Arabidopsis thaliana: one gene and its partners. The protein of the gene in region 3 interacts with the protein of the main gene of each other region in a pairwise test. Each region holds a gene or a part of one and is shown on either strand. Other genes may lie near its edges. The genes, in order: NDPK2, AT2G40620, SR1 and UAP56b.

Region 1 (4,515 bases), about 25 Mb from region 3:
AGCAGCTGGTTAACGATTTCAAGAGGTCGTGTTTCAGAGCGGGTGTGTTGCAGGAATCTCGAAGACGACGCTTCTTCGAGAGCTCTCTGGAGAAGAAGACGCGGAAGACCAAAGAAGCTGCGAAGAAGTATCGGAAAAGGTCAGATTTTTTTTTCACTTTTTCTTCTTTCTTTCGAAAAACACTTGGAGAAGTTGAGTCAATAGATTTTGATTTTACAGGAGACCAAACCCTAAACCAAAACCACTATCAACTTCAGAGATCCGCAAGCACAACAGAAATGCATCCAGAGAAGACGAACAAGACGATCACTGGGAACTTCCTCCTGAGGACATTGAGATTCCATATACCAACCGGTCTTAGAAGTAAACCGGAATGATATTCCGGTACACTGATCTGAGCAATCTTAATCACGCAGCATCTGCGTTTTGTAAAGCCACTCTTTTGTATGTTCTTTTAGCTTGAGATTAGAAAATTTTCATTGCTCGGTGTAGAGTGAAGATGAATGATTTTGGAGGTGTCTGTAACGTAGAACCAAATGCAGATGAATCTGTAACTAGTTTTGATTACATGACAAGTGATCACAGATATGAGAAGAATCAAGCCATAGATTGGCAGTTATATTATATTGCCGCCCAAAATCAGGAACAAAACACCAAAGCTCATCATCGGTAACAAGAAAACAAGTAAGGACACCATTATAATTGACTCTGTCTTCTCAAGGATCACTCCCTTAGCCATGTAGCTAGAGCCGAATCCCACTTGCATAGCTCGCCCTCTTTGAACCACAGACCTATGCCACAACCACAAGAGCCAAAATGTCAGCAAATGAAAACTAAAAGTTTAGCATACTAAGGAATGAGAGTGATTGGTCAAACTAAGTAAATGAAGAAGTGATAGTAATGGTTTAAAACAGATATATTGAACCTAACAATTTCAGTAATCAAGTATGATCTAATCTAGTTATGTTATCAAGTTAATTTGAAGCAGTTTGAACCACGTTGATTTGCCCCTAAACTGGACATAGTCAATGTCTCAACAATGAAAGATGGGTGAATGATTTGAACAAAAAACAAGAAATCTCACCAATCTCACGCTTGCCGTTTTCAGGGCTGTCACTACCATGCACAATGTTCCTGCAAATTGCATAATTTAAAAATATCAAACCATGAGAATTATTTTAAGTGCTTACTTCCAACAATTTTAAAGATGATAGAAGTCCAACCTTCCGGTTTGCACAGCAAGATCTCCTCTTATAGTACCAGGTTCAGCTTGAAGCGGATCTGTTTTCCCTATTAGCTTCCTGGCTGAAGCAACAACACCAACACCTTCCCAAGCCTTTACCAGGTTTAAAACATCACATGCAATTAACTCATCTAATTACAACTTGAAAACAAGTAAAAATCAAATTAGAGCATAGTTATACCCATACCATACACACAACTGGACCTGAAGTGATGTACTCAATCAGGTTAGGAAAGAATGATTTAGCACTAAGATCCTTATAATGCTCCTGGCAATTGAGATAAACACACAAGAATATTAATTATGTCAATCGAATATGAAAAAAAAATGAGGCAGCGTCATCTTACGCAAATGTAGCGAATAAGTGAAATATGCAAGTCATGATCAGGCTTCAATTTCTCGATACTTGTCAATGATTTATTAGTTATATCACATTAAGAAGCAATCTAAAGTTATCAAACTACTGATGTAATGAGTGAGTGTCAAACCTCAGCCAATTCTTTTGGGCACTGAAACATCTTGAGCCCAATAAGTTTAAACCCCTTTTTCTCAAAGCGAGAAATGATTTCTCCTACCTAAGAACATCAAATGAATCATACATTCATAATTTAAGCCAAGATAGTGTAATGAAATAACATTCAAAGCTCCATAGAGTTCCAAGATACATAATTTAACCTCAAAATCAGAAGAAGAAAAAAAATGAAAAGCAAAAACGCTTACAAGGCCTCGTTGTATGCCATCAGGTTTCACCATAATGTAAGTCTCCTCAACGTCCTCCTGAAACAATACAGAAAACAACGTAAGAACAATCAAAAGGTCACTAAATTGCATTGAGATTCATCAAATTAGAATATATCCAAACTAATTTGAATCCTAAATTCCTGATTTCGGAGTTTAATCAATGTAAGTACTAAGAAAACAAAGTAATTCGCATAAATGGAGGGGAAGCACACAAACCATAGAAGCTACAAGGTGAGGAAGGAAGATTCCCGATTCGGCGGAGCTGGAAGCGCGAAGACGGCGGCGAGACGCGGAATTGCGAGAGAAAAGACGGAACTGAGGACGAAATGCGGCCAACGCTGTTCTAAAATTAACCCTGGCTGGAGAACAGTGTGGATTGAGACTTGCCGAGTTTCTCTCCGGCGGCGAAGCCACACATAGGGGAGTCCATTTACTAACTACAGTCGCTCCCACCATTTTCTGCGCTTTGTCTTAGCTTCTCTCAGTGTCTTCGCATCATCATCTTATAAGAACAAAGTTAATTGACATAAATACCCTTTATCCAGAAGCGAAGATAATTTGGGTTTAGTTGATCAATCAAAAAGTATCAGTGCTCAGAAGTAATTTAAAAAGTGATCTCGAGTACAAAGAGTGTCTCGTTTAAATGGAGGAAACAGACTCTTTCTCTTTCCCTGTACAGTTTACTCTTCTAAAAGATTAAAAAAAACAAAAGTCTGCACATTTCAACAGTCGCACAATTTGCTGCTTTAATACCAAACCAAACCATCTTTCTTGTAGCAAAATTGTTTTTTTCTTTTTCTTTTTTCGTCGATTTAGAATCATTGTCAACAGAGTCACGTTGAAAAATAGGCAATACAGACTCATCGTCTTGTCTTCTAGATGTATCTGGCTTTGCCTTTCTTTTGCTTGCTTTAGCCATTTCACGCCACATCAAATTTACATTTTGTGCATAGAAGAATCAATGCGTAAACATCCCCAACTTTTTCTTTTCATCTTGTTGCTTTTAACAAGACCCGGAAAAAAGACTTCATCAATCAATTTCTACATCTATATCTTCCTCTCCCTGGTCAACAAGGTCAGTTTTTTGCCCTGCCTTGTCCACAACTTCGGTTTCTACCTTTCCATTGCCATCAACTACAGTTTCGTTTCCTCCCTTGTCCGAAACTTCAGTTCCTTGCACTCCCTCACCATTGTCAACAGCTTCATTTTCTTCTACCCCCTTTTCGACAACTTCGCTTTTTTGCTCTCCCAAGTCGACAACTCCAGTTTCTTGTTCTTCTTTTTCAGTAACTCTACTTTCTTGCTCTGGCACATTCGCCAATTGTTCTTCTCCTTCAATTTTATTGATGGATTTTTCATCTTCTTGGTTCCCATTATCTTGTGTCTTTTGGCTTACCAGTTCTTCGTTTCCACAATCGAGTTGGTTCTCTCCCTCTTCTCTGTGAGGACTAAGTGTTTGTCCTTCACTTTTGTCAAGGGAAAGTTCTTTTCCTACTCCGACAACTTCAGTTTCTTGCTCTCCTGTATCATCATCTCTACTACTTTCTTGCTCTAGCACATTCTCCAATTGTTCTTCTCTCTCGCTTTGATTGATTTTTTCATCTCTTTGGTTCTCATAATCTTGTGCCTTTTCGCTTACCGATTCTTCATTACCGCTAGCACGTGGGTCCTCTCTCTCTTTTCTGTGAGGACTGAGTGTACGCCCTTCACTTCGGTCAAGGGGATGTACTTCTTCCACTCCCATATCAACAACTTCATTTTCTTGCTTTCTCATATCGACAACTTCAGTTTCTTGCTCTTCCTTGTCACCAACTCCACTTTCTTGCTCTGGCATATTCTCCAGTTGTCGTTCTATTTCATTTGGGTTTATGGGTTTTCCATCTTCTTGGTCCCCATTATCATGTGCCTCTTGGCTCACCGGCTCTTCATTTCCGCTAACGAGTTGATCCTCTCCTTCTACTCTGTGAGGACTATGTTCCTGTTTTTCACTTCTGTCAAAGGGATTGTCTTCTACTTTTCTCTGGCTAAAGTGTGGCGGGTCTTCTTCTTCATCCTCATCCTCATCCATTTTCATATACAGACCTAGATGTTCTAATGGATTACTGTTGCTTTCCATCTTGAAACTACCCAAACCCAACATATCCTCACTAAACTTGGGACTCATCACTTCCATGGAAGTCGGTAATTGATCACCTTCTGTACCTGTAGCTCTAAGCATCTGGAGGTCTTCCATAAACCGTATGCCCTCGTTTATCTCCACTGTCTTTTCCATCTGCAACAGACCAGAAAGTCATTTATCATGATTGTACACCATGGTAGGGCTCTGAATAATAGAAGAGAAACTCGAAAAGTCTTTTATACCTTTTGTAAAGCTTGACGTGCAGCTTCTCTCTCTTGCTCTCTTTCCCTCCTCGCTTTTTCTGCGGCTTCTGCTTTGGCTTTTCTCCGAGCCTCCTCAGCTGCTTTGGCCTCGGCTTGTAACCGTTCTTTTTCTAATCAAACGGAAATCGCAAGAATTAAAAATAAAAGTA
Region 2 (5,302 bases), on a different chromosome or scaffold from region 3:
ACAAGGTTTTTGTCTATTTGTTGCCCCAAAACTATTGGGACTCTCCATAACTACGTGCCTGAAAAATGGTTATGTCCAAAGAGAGAACGTCATTTCAATGACCCAACTTCTAAGAGCCGACACCAAGATAAATAAACTTCAATTGTTCTTGAGCTTTTCTCAAGATATAGTTGAGAGATTCTCATGTGAGTATTTAATTTTGTTGTTTGGTAGTTAGGGCACCTTATAAGTGGCTTCAACATGGCTAGTTTGGTTCATGTAATTTGTGTCTTGACCCGGTTTAACACGTAACCCTCCTCTAGTTTCTAATTAGCTTAAGTGGGTTTTTCAAAATCTCCATATGTTCCAACGAAACTACGTTTGGTTTGTGCTTTGTAGTGCGGACGTTAGGGTTCTAATGGGAATTATCTTGAGAACCTTGTGCTTGAAGCAAAAGTACATGTGGAACTATAAAAGTAGCCAATTCCATGCCCAACGAATAGAAATTTTCCTACAAATCCAATTTACTGGAAATGAAAATAACACAAAGTGATGTAGCTAGGAGACCTGCAAAACAAAACACTTTCTGATCTGGTTCAAGCCAAAGCCAAATCCAAATTCAACCATCTATCATAGGGATGATTGACGAAAGCAACTAGGGAATCATGACAACATAAAGAAACAGAAATATGATCTGTTTATAATTCAGTAGCTCCCCAGGAGAACAAGATGAATCAGGAAATGAGAAATCAGACAAGTTAAAACAACTGTGGTCTCTAAAGTTGAAACCCCAAAACCCCCCAAAAAACCAGTTTTACAGAATAAAAAATGAATCCGACTGTCACGAAGATGTTACTTTTTAGCTAAAGATTTCAAGGGAGGGCGAAAGAATAGGTTTATCGACAAAGGGGAATCTGGGAAAGGCAGCCTCACATAGTGCTGCTGCTTTCACTGACGGTGTCAGACCTACCAAAGTTTGAGCCTCTGCCACAGCTGCTAATGTCAAGCCCCTGTAACCGGCCAAGATGGTCTTCATGCATTGCCTCTGAATAGGAATGAGATTGAGCCGGGGCATTAGAAGTAGCGTGATGCATAAGCTGATGAGCGGTGGGAGGGTTTGTGCGAGAAGATTGGTTCTGGTTGTTGTTAGGCTGGAAGAGATGAAACTGATGAGTCATTTGTTGCAGGTTTTGAGCATCGGTTTGTTGCTGATGATGATGTTGAAAGAAGGATTGTTGTGGTTGTTGCTGATATTGCATGTGTGCCATTCCGAGGTTATAAGCATCCGCGGGTGAGACTTCTCCCGTGGCGAATTTCAGCCTCTCAACTTCCTTTTTCAGTTGCTCGTTCAGTGCTGCCGAGGGAACTCATTAGTAAACGACCTTAAACCCCAAATAATCATATAAAGTGAGGGATTGAGAGATTAATCCATACCATCTCGCAACTTAGCTTGTTGTTCCATGACCTGTAAACGAAGCTTGAGCTCTGTATTCTCAGATGACAAACCAGTTGTGTCTCTCTGTAAGAAGCAAGTTATTAGGCCGTAGATGAGAAACTGAATGTTATTGCAGTAACTGAAAAATGTGCAAAGAAGGAGAATGTATAAGAAACCTGGAACAAAGACAACTGTGCTGAAAGGGTAGTAGCTTCAGTTTGCAAGGTCTGAACTTTCCTCTCGAGCTCCAAGATATACCGAGCCTTCCTCTCTTTCGAACGAGCAGCAGACTGTCGATTAGCAATTATCCTGCACAGAGTGCATGAGACAGGATTAGACACTTTGGAGCATCAATTAATAAAAGTCACAAGAACAGTCATGCAATTAATAGTGACCATCACCAAAGAATCATCCGAGAGATTACATTAGATCACCCTTAACCCTATTGACACAGATCAGATCTCACACAAAGCTAATTCCCAAACAATTTGAACCAAAGTCACTTGAAACTATAATTTCCAATTCCAAACAGTTGACTACTAAAAGTGAATGTAAAAAAGGGATCATCTTGAAAGCCATACCACACAAAAAAACATCATCAAATATGATCTCTAACCAAACAGGAATTGAACAGACCAATCAAGCAAAAGCTAGTACAAAAAAAAATTAGTTGGGGGCCATAAAATCATCATGAAAGAGACACATTCTCACAGAATTCAACTTGGAATTTAGACAAAAAAGCAAACTTATGGGTCCCTCATGGTCTCTCTCTCTCAGCAGGAAAGACCTAAAATAAAAAAGCAGCATAGTAGAAGCTATAACTAAAATTTCAGTTAAAAATCAGTTATCGTTGAGATTCGAGATCATAGTCAAAAAGAAAAGGTGATGTACTCACGTAACCAAGAAAAACAAAAAGATCTCCAAAAGAACACCTAATGACTAATGCATCACATCAACATCAAAAGATTACATATTCATCAATAAAAGGTCATAAAGAAACTGCCTTTCTTCCCCACGAATTGTAAACAAAAGCATAAAACAAGGAACTAGATTTCAATCATATCAAACAAAATTCTCGACGTTTGGGGATTAAAGATGAAACCTTTTAGCTCTTTTAGGGTCGACGACCCAAAGCTCAGCGAGCTTATCAGGAGCCATAGCTTTCTTAGCCTCAATTGACTCCAAAGTCGAAGAGCCATCAACGGAGAGGCTATGCCTGTGTCGAGGTCTCGAATTCCCAGCCTCCGCACCTCCATTCTCAGCGGAAAACGGGTTATCAGACCTAGGAGCAGAAGGACCAGCCGAATCGGATGCGGATCCGGATCCGGATCCAAGTTTCTCAATGTCCATGTATGAGCAAAAGAGATCATCTTCGGATCCAAGCTCATCGAATCCTCCGAATGGTTCAGAGAGATCCAGATCTTCAGGGAGACGGAATTGGACCTCCGAATGTGCTCTCCGGTGGTACGGACCACGAACTGGCGCAGGTGTCGGAGCTGTGGCTAAAGGCGGGCATTGCGAGAGATTGCTCTGGTTTGGTTGTGGGTTAGAAGGATCCTCCATATCTGGATCGTCCTTCTTCTTCTTATTTTCTCTCTGTTTCGCGCCCTCTGTCTATCTGTCGGAATCGGACAGCGAAAGAGAGAGAGAGAGAGAGGGAGAGATTCAGATATCACGTTGTGTCCGAAGGTGATGATGATGGCCACAAAAAAACACGGAACAGGCTCCAAAACAGCGTCGTTTGTGAGATCTTTTATCTTTTTAACCCTTGTTTTCGTCTATCCAAACTTTCAAGCTGTCTTTTGATCACACAAATCATATACTTCTCTTTTTACATTTGATCTTATTCACATATACATAGAAACATATAAATTACAATTCCTTGTTCAACAATATTTTTGTTTTTCATTAAATATCTTTTACTAAAACAAAATAATCGCATAAAATATTGTGTATAAAGCTTAATATTATTTTCATTTTAGCTATTTATAAAAAATATTGATAGATCCAAATTAGAATGTTTACTTAAATTTCAAAGTTAATTTTAGTAATGTTTTATCGCGGGTTTATGTGAAAATATAGTTAGAAAACTTTTTGAAAATTTGGAGCGAAAAGTTCGTTACCAACGGCATCTTATCATATGTGTAGAACATTGGAAAAAAAACGTTTGAAGATTTGGATTCAATAAATAAAAGGAAATACATTAAACTTTTTGTTATTTTAGACATTTCACAAAAAATAGTAAATAAGCCTTTATAACTTTTTTAATATATACGAACTTTAGGAAACATAATACGATCCAAACACATTTGCTTCTAAAACTACTTTCCAAAACCATTCTACATCCAAAAACTAGCTTAACCAATTTTAAAACCGATTCAATCAATATCAATATATATACACACACAAAATTTAGACTAATATGTATTTTACTATTTTGTCGTTATCGTTACATATAAAATGCTTAGTAGATTTTTATATCAATAATATAATCAAAAATCTAAATAATTAAATTCACCGTAAACGACAGAAAAAAACTTAGATTTGTTGTATTTCACATCTATTTAAAGACTAAAATCTTATAAAATGAATGAAGTTTTTTGTTCTTGGCATTTTTAGTAAATACTAAAATCTTATATAGTGATTGATATACATATGTAATTTCTCTAAATAATAATTTGTAAATGTGTGGGGTAAAATATGAACAAGTGAGTTTTGGTGGGAGTAAAAGTGAAAAAGACATTAGTAATTAGAGAATTAGTGAAATTGACGAAAGAGCCCTACTTGATGATATTTCGAGAATATAAAAGGCTCAAAGGTTAGCGGCCGAAAAAACGAGGAAGCTCTCTCCTTTATAACAAAACCTCAACACTTCACCATTTGAATTCAAAATCCCTTTTCTCTTCTGTCTCTCATCGATTTATCCCCAAATATACTTTCTTCTTCGTCCTCACCTCACTCCTCTACACAATTTATCTAAACCTAATCTTAGTTATTCAAAGCTTGCTCTCGAATCCCCTTATGTGTGTACCCGTTTAGAAGAAACTGTTGCGTTTTCGTTTGTGTGTGGACTCTTTCTGGGTGGATTCGACATCTGGGTTTTTGGAAAAGAGAGATCTTTCTGGTGTGTAAATGGAGGAACAGAGAGGAATTTCCTCTGGTGTTGTGTCGGAACCTGCATCGAATTCTGTGGTTTGTTGCTTCTTTTGGCTTTCCCGATGACTTTCTCGGTTCTTCATCAAATTTTATCAATTTGTTTATGGGTTTGTGTTCTTCGTCTCTGGGGTTATCCCAATTTTGTAGATTTCTGGCGAGAAGCGTAACGGAAATGGATTAGATGAGAAAGATGAATTAGGGTCTAAACGTGTGAAAGTCCCAGATCTGGCTTCTGGTAATTCTCGAGTTTTCTTTTACTTAGAATGGTCGAATTCGATTGTTAGAAATGATCTTTATCACTGAATTTTCGGATGATTTGTTAAAAGTTTCCTACTTTTTTTATAATTATGTTACAGATGCGAAAACCAGTAGTTTGCAATCTCATGGAAACAGTAATAGTGTTCAGCAACCAAATCTTAGTAGTGAGAAGTTGTCGAAAGTATCTAAAGTGCTTGTGGCTCCTGATGCTGAAGGTATAAGAAGAGTAGTTAGAGAAAATGATGTTTTGTCTAAAGATATAAAACCTTCCTCAACTGTTGAGACGAGAACATACTTGCCTAAGGCCAAGTCAATTTCTACAGATGATAATAGACGCGTTGTTAATTCTGGAAAACAGGCTTTGCTTGAGAATCATACTGTAAAAACAGATGATAGTAAGTGTCGTGTTGTTAAGAATATTAGCCTCTTGAAACCGAGGGAGACTACTGAATCTGTTGTAAGTCAACGTGGAGC
Region 3 (4,517 bases):
GATAATATATAGATCGTGGAGCCTACAATTATTGCATTGAAAAGGTGATATATATGTTGATTACAGTAATTATAACTGCTGAAGCTGAAATTAATGGATTATGGATGATTGGATTCAATGTGGATACCAAGAAAAGAAAATGATTGATGAGAATTATTGGTGTATGATCTTATATCACAGCCACATGCGATAGGATTATATAAAGTCCACTAGCTATATATCTATTTTAATAGTATATTTTTACAATGATGTGATAAGGACAACCTCTTACTTATCAAAAAGGTGAAAGTAGATCAGTTGTGTTAGTTCATGGCTCAAATCTTGACACTTCTTTTTACATAATGACAAAATTAATAGCAGAAGAAGACTGTGTTTTATGAGTTGTTAAAAATTACATCTATATGTATGTTAAATATCATGTTGAATAGTTAACTAATCCTTAAGTAATGGTTAAGTTAGAGTGTCTTGTACACATAGCATTACTTCACATCCACGATACGTTACTAATGTATTATAGTGGCCATTTAAAACAAGTAATACATTTTTTTATATTTTATTTTTCATTTATATAAAATATAATTATGATTACATAACAAGAAGATACATACTTGCCAACTAAAAATTAAGATTTGTCGAGAAATTTCCTGAATAATTATGTCAGAGATATTCTCCGGGTAAAAAAAAAAGCAATTACATATAACCCGGGATATTTTTTTTTAATTATTATTTGGATAATTTATTTGACAGATACCTAAACTACGACGTCGTATGTACTTGAGTTGGTTCTGGGTCCGTTTGGTCTGATTCGTGCACAAGCTCGACGAAGAAAGGCCTGAGTGTATCTGTCCATAAATCTCGTCCAGATGCAGCGGCTCTTTGTCTCTTCCTCACCTCTATCATAACCAGCTCGTCCGTTAGCTGGTTTATCTCAACCACCATTGCGAAGTTACCTTTTTGCCCCTCGATCTTCATCCCCCATGTTTCCTTCTTCGCCACCGTCAGATTCTCCGCCGACACGATCTCCTCCAGCCTCTCCACCACCCTCTCCGCCGTCCACGCCGACACGAACCGTTCCACTCGGTCGTACTTTCTGGCGTCTCCGAAAAGACCGGAGAGATTGAACCCTGGAGATCCTGAGATGATGTCGAATGCGTTCATCCTCCTTGCTCCCATCTCGCTGTCGGTCTCGTCCGCCGGGAGTTTCATATCGGAGTCCTCTAGATGGAATTTAGACATCCGATCGTCGTAGCCCTGTTTGAACCATGGATCGTGGATGATCTCTTCGATAGTGATCCTCGTCTGCGGATTCGTGTCTAAAAGCCGAGTCAGCAGTCGCCGGAGATCCGGTGAGGTCCACTTGGGAATGCGAAATTCTCCCTTGTAGATTTTCCGGTACATAACCATGAGATTATGGTCGTTGAAAGGGAGATAACCGGCGTTGAGGACGAACAGTATGATTCCACATGACCATATGTCGATTTTAGCACCGTCGTACCCTTTCTTCGCCAAAACCTCAGGCGCCACGTACGCCGGCGTACCACAGAGTGTGTGGAGGAGGCCGTCGGGTCGGATCTGATCGGTAAGAGCGCTGAGTCCGAAATCAGAGATCTTCAAATCGAGCTTCTCGTCGAGGAGGAGATTCTCCGGTTTGAGATCACGGTGAAAGATGCCGCGGGAGTGGCAATATCCGACGGCGGAGATGAGCTGCTGGAAATAACGACGGCTAAGATCCTCGCAGAACCTGCCCTTGGAGACTTTGGCGAATAGCTCACCGCCCTTGGCGAATTCCATGACGAAGAAGATCTTGGATTTGGTGGCGAGGACCTCGAACAGGCGCACGATAGAAGGGTGGCGCAGACGGTGCATGATAGCGATCTCTCTCTGAATGTTGCCATTGAGTCCTCCTTTCTGCAGCCGTTGCTTGCTCACCACTTTGATCGCAACGCTCTGACCCGTCGCTGTGCTCCTCCCGTGGTACACTTTCGCGAAGGCGCCGCATCCCACCAATTTTCCGACCTCGTATTTGCCGAAGAGCTGTCCACGGCGGTTCTCCGGCGGAAATTCCACCGGGTCAGAATCTACCATTAAAAACAGAATCTGCTAGGTCAATTATGGTACACAGAAACTGAGGTCATTGCGAATGAATCAACGCCGTAGAAAAAAAAGAAAAGAAGTCTGAGAGAGAGAGTGTTGTTATTAATAGAAGAAGCGAAAGGAAAATTAGTAGTTTGAAAAGTAAAAAGATATGAACAAAAGTAACAGATATTTAGAGAGATCTGTTAGCAGAGAAAACAAAAGAGAGACAGACAAATTGGGAGGATTCGGATAAGAGATAAGCCATGCTCTGTATCGAGTTGTTACATATATATTACTGTCTTGAGGTAGGAGATGAGGGTATTTTTGTCAATTACTATCAGATTCTTTTTCCTTATTTTCTTCTTCTTTATTTTCTTTGTAAAGACGTGGGAGATTTTCTGTTTTGTTTTCTTAATATATCTATTAAAAAAAGAAGAAGAAGAAGATGAAGATGTGGACAAGAAGTTGAATTAGAACCATACAGGTGTCCCGTCGCTGTTGTCGTGTTGATTTGGTATCTCCGAGGGTTTAGGCTGTAGAATATACTCATTTCACACATATACGCTTCGTCGTATCTTCGGCTATTTGCTATAATATTATTATTACAAGAACATATAAACATGTTTCCTCCAATATTGTTGAATATTATTATTTTATGGTCAACTCAAAACGGAGAATTGTTCTTTCGACTAGCCTAGGCAGCTAGCTCTAGTTAGTTAGTAATTCAGCTAACCACTGCTTTGTTTAGTCATCAATCGTGGTTAAGTCCTTTGAACATCCAAATTCCCCTTATTAGTATTAGTTCAAGTCTCATTTTGAGCACCAGGCTATATATTGCGGTTGACAGGTTACTACAACTCCCGCCCCACTGCTCAAGGTTGGAATCGTCCTATAACTAGTGTCATTTCCTAATCTTCCTTAATCTTTTCAAATCACTATCTAAACTCTACGTTCATTTTTAATTATGATTCTTATGTTTATTTTTCCACTCCATCACTGTTCCAAATAACTTGAATTATTTATCAAATTTAAACAATACTTGGGAAAATATATTTCATGCTTTTTGTATACATTTCACAGTTGTTTATTTCACTATTTTTAGAAAATATATTTGCTTATGTTGGAATCATTAGTTAATACATTTGGAAAACATATGTCATTCCTTTTTAAAAATCTCCAGTTGTTTTTTCCCATATTCGTGGAAAAATAAATCGAGTCTTATGGGCAAATTGATCTATTTGATGCTTTTTGAAAAAAAGAAATATGACTACATTTAAGATTTCAATTGATTATTTTCAATATATGTTTCACATTATAAAGTACAAACAGTGCGCTTGAAAAAATAACTTTTGCCCAAAATAAAAAAGAAAAACAAATTTGATTAATATTTAACATTATCTCATTGTTTTTTTTTAATAGTTACTATTTTCTTACTTAGCTAAGTTGGAAAGTCAGTATAATTTTATAAAGATGTATTAGTTCCATGTATGATCACTACCCACAATCACACTAATTATGTCCCAATTCCTCAGACTTAAACATTTGACGACTTAGAAATCATCGCATTGCATTGTTAGAGTGCAAGGCTTTTATAATCTTGTGAAGTTTTGGTTAAAGTTTAATACCAAAAAAAAGAGGATAAATTTTGCAGTGTCAATTTTTATAGTAAATCTACGACGTGATCTACCCACCGCAGCGTACAACAAAATATAAAATCAATTTTAATTATTTTTGTAATTTATCCAAAACACACAACGTTTTAAAGATTAGATAAATCGTACGTTACTATTTTCGCTGTCACGCTGTGCCCATTTGTACATATATATAAATCCAAGCCACACATAAATTAGTACTATTTTTTTTTGGTAGGCATAAATTAGTACTACAGTATTCACATAAAACCAAATCAACATCTTTTTTAATATATATAAATCCATTAAAAGACATGTACGGGAATAAAATAAAAATAAATTACCGCGTTAATAATGTGATGTACGAAAGATTTCATTTGTTTTTAATTTTGATTTTTTCTGATGCTGTTTCATGGAAGCTTCTTTCGTTGGGGAAAAAGAGAAGGAGGAAGGAAAGAAGCTCGTTAAATAATTACGAAATCAAGGTTCTGTCAATAAAAATGGATGGTTATATAATTGCCCCTTTTCTTTCGTTGGTTCGAAAGGTTGCTCCAATCAAAATATCTACTGATTTTGAATACATTATTAATTGTTGACAAACAAAATAAAAGAATACATTATTAATTTAGCTTGTTACTTTTGGTCCCATGCAAGATTAATGTGACCATATAACCCATTTTTACGACAAAATTTAACGATATAATATATATGACCATAAATAACTTCTGAAGTAATTAACAAAAGAAAACATAAATAAAATGAATTAAAAAAATGGAATATACGAGGTCCATGTTAATATGTTATAAACAC
Region 4 (6,298 bases), 3.3 Mb from region 3:
CATCAGATTCTCCAATCCAGCTCGACCACCACAGCTTTGAAGCTCTATTTCTGATCGTCTTTGTTGTTTCTGTGATTCTACTCTTACTCATGTTGGCTTCTAGAGGATACCAAGAGAGACAACACAATGCTTCACCCAATCTACCAAATGATCAAGCCAATGCAGCTCAAGAAGAAGTCAATGAAGAAGGTAATGTTGGAGATCATATTGTGGAAGTCGACACAGCTTTGGTCCGTCGTAAGAAACTGACCTCAAACACTATACCCATTAGAAGAGTTGCGCCACTATCAAGGCTAAAGTCAGCATAGTCAAACCTAAACTCTAGATTTCTTTCACTGTTTAGATTGCATAATCATAATATTTAAGGAATCCTTTTCTCAAATATGTTTAAATGTATCTAAGATAGACTGATGCAAACTTAAATCTTACCTACTACTATTACATGAAATATTTGTTCATTGGTCAGCATAAAAGACGGTATTTACGTTCAGGATTCTTATCAACATTCAATAATATTCGCTTTGCATCAAACTAGATCAATTCACTAGGAACATTTAATCAATGATCAAGCCAAAGAATAAATCCTGAAATCTTAATATTTTAAAGATAACCATCACTAGTACAAAAAACAGGAGAGCTCTCAACTGTGCGCGATTTGGAGAGTAGCTCAATCTCATTTTTCAAGAGTTACAAAACGGTCTAAATATATGGAAAAACTTGTCCTCATAGAAAAGTCTAAAATAGCGAAGCAACAAACGGTGTGAGAGATAGTTGTGGACCTCCATGACCCCTTTGAACACCTAAAAGGTTGAAATCTGAAGAGGTTCGTTCCTCAGAGATGATGCTACTTGTTTAAGACGGCACTGAGCAAAGAATACGAAGAAGAAACTAAGTTAATATCAATACCAGACAAAACCAGCCTTTTTCACATTTAGTAATGGGATTTAAAACTTACTGTAAGTCGATGTATCAATCTGCTCAGGAAGCTCCTTTATATCGACCTCAAACCTCTCTTGAACCTGTCCAACATTTATACTTGCCACTTTACTAAATACCCAACTCAATATCATGGGGACTTTTTCCATGGAATTTATTAAAAGATCAAACACCATACCTGATTAAGGACCTCTGAATCTGAAGCAGATGCAACAAATGTGATTGCAAGACCCTTGGTTCCAAATCTACCAGCTCTCCCAACCTATCCCATACACACAGCAAAACGGTAAAGTTACAAGAGCCCTTTCATCAACGATCAAATAATAAATCTCAGGATTATATACTTACCCTATGAAGATAGGTATCCGCAGAATCTGGCATGTCATAGTTGATAACAATGTTGACACGCTCTATGTCAATCCCTCTTCCTACCAAGTCAGTCGCCACAAGGATCCTCTTGTGCCCTTCCTTGAAACTTTTGTATCGAGTCAACCTACATAACATATCGTATTAGGCTTAAGAATTGGACTCTCCATGAGGGCTTTAAGAGCAGGTAGGGTCCTTCAGAAACATTGAATTTTTAAGAGAATGTACAAACCTCTCTTCTTGAGACATGCCAGAGTGTATGCATATTGAGGGGAAATTGCATTCCACCAGTAACTTGTTCAGCTCCGCAGCCCTGCTCACGCTCTTCACAAAAATGACAACTTGATTGAAGTCCAACGCATCAAGAAGGTCATTCAACTTGCGATTTTTCTCCATCTCGCTCAGTTTGATGTAGTGCTGTTACAGTAGAACAGAAAAAAGGTCACTTAAGTATCAAACAACAACATATATTTACATTGAATACGAAGACCTCAAACCAGTTAAACGTACCTGGACAAGTCCATGAAGAGTCAACTTGGCTTCATCATCAACATATATTTCCATTGGCTGAAAGGAACAGATACCAGGTAAGAAGTATTAGCTAGCTTTCCTCAGGAAATGATTTACACTACAAAAGTGAAGATGGATGGAGATCCCCTGAACTGAGATCCTCGTCCACCTTTTCTCTTCAAAGATGTGAGTTTTGCTATGAAACATCAATATTGCTCGGAACATTGAGACCCATACGAGCACGATGAAACCTTGGGAAAACACAGTACCCCGACCCAAAACCCACCCACCACTGCTAGATTTTCAAAGAAATTGAAACTGAATAAAAGGTTAAGATGAAAGGAAATCCTGTTGTGCAACGGTCACTCAATCATACCAAAGCTACAGAGTCTCCACTCAGAGTTCTCAACCCCTACAAACTACCCAAAGCATTATTAGGTTGAGATCCTTCCAGAGATCAGTTGCAACTTTTCCAGGGCAGAACAACAGAAGATGCTCAAATAATGCTATGATCACCGATAGAAACCATACCAAAGCTAAAGAGTCTCACACTCACAGTCTCGTTCTCTAGAAACTACCCAAAGCATTATTGGATTGAGACCCATCCAGAGATCAGTTTCAGCTTTTCAAGGGCAGAACCGCAGAAGATGCTCAAATAATGCTATGATCACCCATAGAAGGCTAAAAATAGATGAAAACTAGAAGACTTGCAAAGGGAGAGAGAATTGGCCATGGAACATTACATCTTGCATAAACTTCTTGCAGACTGGGCGTATCTCTTTGCTGAGCGTTGCTGAGAACATCATTACTTGTTTGTCATGAGGAGTCATCTTGAAAATCTCCTGCACATCCCTTCGCATGTCTGGTAAAGACAAGTTGAAGTGTTAAAACATAAAATTATTCAGGGATCGATGTAATAATGATGTCAGAAATCAGCATACCAAGTGACTCGAGCATTTTATCACACTCATCAAGAATAAAATGCCTCACATTCTTCAAAGAGAGATCTTTCTCCCTGGCAAGTGCAAGCACTCGACCAGGGGTACCAACAACAATGTGAGGACATTCATTCTTCAGCAAGTCTTTGTGAATTTTAATGTTGACTCCACCATAGAACACCGAAACTTTTGTATCAGGCAGATAGGTACTGAATCGCACAAACTCATTGCAGATCTGCAAGTAATTTTCAGCATCAAGGCATAGTAAGCATTAGAGAACTTGAAGACGTAAAACACGACTATAAGCCAAGAACCTGAGTGAAACAAGAAGGTCATACCTGGTAAGCTAGCTCTCTTGTATGGCACAAGACAAGTGCAGAAACCTGGCCAGGAGATGGTTCAATCTGTTGTAGAGTAGACAGGACAAACACAGCAGTCTTCCCCATACCAGACTTTGCTTGGCAGATAACATCCATACCCAAGATAGCTTGAGGGATACATTCGTGTTGCACTGGTGGAGAACCAAAGAAAATAGCACCGAAGAAACCCTTTATAAGTAGATGATAACCTCCATATCTTTTAAATTGGTGGCTTTAGCACATGTTAAGCTCACTCCAAATCAATAGATCGAAATTAGCGTTTATTACCTGGAAAAAGTAATCAGTGAAACGTTAATAGACAGAAAACTAAAAAAAATTATTACAGGAAACTAAAGAAGAATTTAACCTTATAATCAACACAAAACTTTTGGATTTTGGACTTAGTTAGGTGATAAGCAAGGGACCCAGATAAAGTAAAATATCTTAAACCAACATATCTTCTCAAAACTAGACGAAGTACATATAATTAAAAGTCTCCGGACACCTAAAAAGCTTATGGAGAAGAAACTTCTGTAAATTCTACCATATCATTCAGATTCAGTAATAGAATGGTGAAAGGCAACAAAATTGAATTTTTATTGGTAATTACCTTCAGATGGATGTTCAAATCCTGAGTCAACAATAGCTCTGAGAAGCTCCGGTTTCAAAAGGAAGTCTCTGAATCCAGAACTGTGTATTCCCACGTACCCTCTGTCACAAAGAGAAAATACAATATGAGAAACACACGACAGTCTAATATTGGGTGGGTTTCAGGAATTATAGCAATGAAGAACTCAGTCAATTGTTATATGTTAAGCAACTAATTAAACACATACTGCTACTTGTTATCAAGTAGTAATCTAAGAATCGACAAATTTAAACACACAGTAGTATACATGAAACATATCGAGGAAACCATAAAACTCACTTTTTCACAGCTTCGCCGTTAACTTTGTTTCCAGAATCTGGGACCTTCTCGTCTTCTTCTTCATAGTCCAAGAGCTCCTCCTCGTAGGCTTCGTTGTCTCTAGCGTCTCCCATACTTCGCAAATTCAACAAGCTGCAGAGAAATTTCGGGTAAGATTCCAAATCCAAAACATTAACCTAAGATTCAGTAGGAAAGCATCTTCAGTTGGAACTTTGGATAAGCAATTGAGTTCTCGAGCGAGAATTTTACCTGAGATAAGGAGCAGAGTTAGTTGGATCTCGAAATCGACTAGGGTTTCGAAATCTCTGACTGAAGAAAATTAAATATCAACGCTGGGTTGGTGTCGTAAATATATATATACAGGGAGACTGGATAGGGTTGAGAATGGGCTTTACTTTAATGGGCCTAGAGTTTTTATGAATCGGCCTTTGTGCGCCGATTATTGAACTCAATGATGGGATCGAAGCAATTTTTTTTCTACGACGAATACGGTCAGGGTTCGTCTTGTAGGATAAGAACATTAGCCCAAAGATAGATTACAACAAATTGTTTTATGAGGATATTTTATTTCCTTTAATAATAACAACTAGATTTTTAACCCGTCTTATACCGCAGGGGACAATATTTTTTTTTTAAGTTAGTATATATAAAAGTTTGCAAATTGTATCTATCTATAAAATATTTTTATTTTATAGTTTACAATTGTTATTAAGTTACGTCCTGCTAAACTCGTCCCGCCAATCCGTCCCGTAAAAAAAACTATTTATTTTATTAATATTGATCTTATTTATGATATGTTTATGAATCATTGTCTAAATATTTTGTAATTTTGTAATAATTAATTGCTATCAAATATCTCTGTGGGTTGATGCGTATAATCGAATTGTTATAGTCATGCAAAAAAGCAATATCAAAAATGATAATTTTGTAATTTTTAAATGATGTTAAATATTTTGGAAGTTTTATTTTAGTAACTAATCGTGTAGTTAATGTAGAGAGATTTTGGGAATATAGTTAAATGTCAAATATTTAATTCGAAGATTTACTTTCTAATTATCAAAAATAATTATTAAATGCCAGTGGCAGCCACTGTAAATAAGTCTCAACTTGAGGTTTATTTTACAAAGTGGCTGCAAAAATGTATATGTATATATGTTTGTGTTTGAAGGACCAACAAAATTGTAGGCCCATTAATTAAAACAAGAGAATACTTAAATCGAACAATCTTTTATATCAATCAATACAACAAGCATGTATACTTTCATCACACAAAAAAATACAAATCTGTATATATTACATTTTTTTACATGTATTTTTGACAATTTTCTTACATGTATAATCGATAAATAAAGGAAATCCATCACATAATAAACTTTTTAAAAATATTAAAAACCGGAAAACAATGAAAACCCTTACCCCTTGTGGACTTGCAACAAGTTAAAGTCAAAAGTCAACTCCAATTCAGCAACTCCTCGATCATCTCCATAGCTAACTGATCCTCATCACTAATAATAGCTTCTTCTTCTTCTTCTTCTTTCTCAACGTTTTGTTTGTTCATCGTAGTCAACCCTAAGTCAACCGCACTTTCGTTGACTACGTTCCCAAGTTCGAGGCGCATGACCCAAGTCGGACTTGTTTTCGACCCGGCCCGTTTCTGCCAAACTCCAATGTGGGAACTGTCAGTATCAAGACGGAGACACGTCAAAGAAGGCGTTAGGTCTTTGCAGCTCTTCCTTAGCTTAGCGTTCAAAAGCTCAGATAATGACTTTGGTGACATCAACGGAGAGTTAACATCTTTAACGTGATCGGAGCCTTCCTCTGATTTTACGACAGGGAAATTGGTCTTAGCGTTTTGGCCGTTCATTAGAAGAGCCGCTTGGTCGTATGCTCTTGCAGCCGCTTCTGCCGTTTCGAAAGTTCCAAGCCACACTCTTCTCTTCCTGATTAATATATCACACACACGTGTAAATACTAAATACACTACATATGATGATATGAATTTTGAAATATAATTTTTAACGTTTTGGTATCATATAACATTCACGTTAAAAAAGGATTTTAGTAATTTTTATATTAGTTACAAAATCCAAGTAAACATTTCAATTAAGTTTTGAGCTGAAATCCAAACTAACCTTAGAAATTACCACATTTAATTTACAAAAATAATCAAAGAATCAAGTAGATGAAAATCAGTCGATAACTTAACTTTGATTAGCATGCATGGTTGGTTTTAACTTTTAATTCCTTTTAATATTTTGTAG

Evidence for each region.
Region 1: the proteins of SR1 (region 3) and NDPK2 interact in a two-hybrid assay, tested with the Arabidopsis thaliana proteins (one study listed by BioGRID).
Region 2: the proteins of SR1 (region 3) and AT2G40620 interact in binary tests that used the Arabidopsis thaliana proteins (3 or more experiments, as listed by UniProt).
Region 4: the proteins of SR1 (region 3) and UAP56b interact in a two-hybrid assay, tested with the Arabidopsis thaliana proteins (one study listed by BioGRID).

Annotation. Positions count from the first base shown.
Region 1 is NC_003076.8:25,371,399-25,375,913, forward strand, and holds NDPK2 (nucleoside diphosphate kinase 2), read right to left. Parts: upstream 2,507-4,515; 5' UTR 2,441-2,506; coding exon 2,201-2,440; intron 2,021-2,200; coding exon 1,964-2,020; intron 1,819-1,963; coding exon 1,732-1,818; intron 1,512-1,731; coding exon 1,431-1,511; intron 1,337-1,430; coding exon 1,224-1,336; intron 1,135-1,223; coding exon 1,085-1,134; intron 792-1,084; coding exon 724-791; 3' UTR 506-723; downstream 1-505. Other genes in the region: AT5G63300 (Ribosomal protein S21 family protein), read left to right, coding at 1-377; NPX1 (nuclear protein X1), read right to left, coding at 3,015-4,256, 4,346-4,476. UniProt on the Arabidopsis thaliana protein: Major role in the synthesis of nucleoside triphosphates other than ATP. The ATP gamma phosphate is transferred to the NDP beta phosphate via a ping-pong mechanism, using a phosphorylated active-site intermediate. May activate MPK3 and MPK6.
Region 2 is NC_003071.7:16,953,896-16,959,197, forward strand, and holds AT2G40620 (Basic-leucine zipper (bZIP) transcription factor family protein), read right to left. Parts: upstream 3,289-5,302; 5' UTR 2,978-3,288; coding exon 2,517-2,977; intron 1,724-2,516; coding exon 1,591-1,723; intron 1,499-1,590; coding exon 1,414-1,498; intron 1,334-1,413; coding exon 909-1,333; 3' UTR 523-908; downstream 1-522. Other genes in the region: AT2G40630 (Uncharacterized conserved protein (UCP030365)), read left to right, coding at 4,547-4,606, 4,718-4,805, 4,927-5,302. UniProt on the Arabidopsis thaliana protein: Transcription factor that may participate with bZIP34 in the gametophytic control of pollen development.
Region 3 is NC_003076.8:312,667-317,183, forward strand, and holds SR1 (serine/threonine protein kinase 1), read right to left. Parts: upstream 2,740-4,517; 5' UTR 2,086-2,739; coding exon 757-2,085; 3' UTR 524-756; downstream 1-523. UniProt on the Arabidopsis thaliana protein: CIPK serine-threonine protein kinases interact with CBL proteins. Binding of a CBL protein to the regulatory NAF domain of CIPK protein lead to the activation of the kinase in a calcium-dependent manner.
Region 4 is NC_003076.8:3,565,241-3,571,538, reverse strand, and holds UAP56b (DEAD/DEAH box RNA helicase family protein), read right to left. Parts: upstream 4,365-6,298; 5' UTR 4,287-4,364; intron 4,170-4,286; 5' UTR 4,151-4,169; coding exon 4,038-4,150; intron 3,821-4,037; coding exon 3,720-3,820; intron 3,262-3,719; coding exon 3,089-3,261; intron 2,986-3,088; coding exon 2,754-2,985; intron 2,675-2,753; coding exon 2,556-2,674; intron 2,387-2,555; coding exon 2,344-2,386; intron 2,225-2,343; coding exon 2,189-2,224; intron 2,105-2,188; coding exon of another isoform or gene 2,064-2,104; coding exon 1,966-2,063; intron 1,870-1,965; coding exon 1,813-1,869; intron 1,720-1,812; coding exon 1,535-1,719; intron 1,430-1,534; coding exon 1,285-1,429; intron 1,199-1,284; coding exon 1,115-1,198; intron 1,020-1,114; coding exon 956-1,019; intron 864-955; coding exon 853-863; 3' UTR 524-852; downstream 1-523. Other genes in the region: GLR2.5 (glutamate receptor 2.5), read left to right, coding at 1-308; SHN2 (Integrase-type DNA-binding superfamily protein), read right to left, coding at 5,488-5,977. UniProt on the Arabidopsis thaliana protein: ATP-dependent RNA helicase involved in pre-mRNA splicing. Required for the export of mRNA out of the nucleus. In addition to ssRNA and dsRNA, binds dsDNA, but not ssDNA.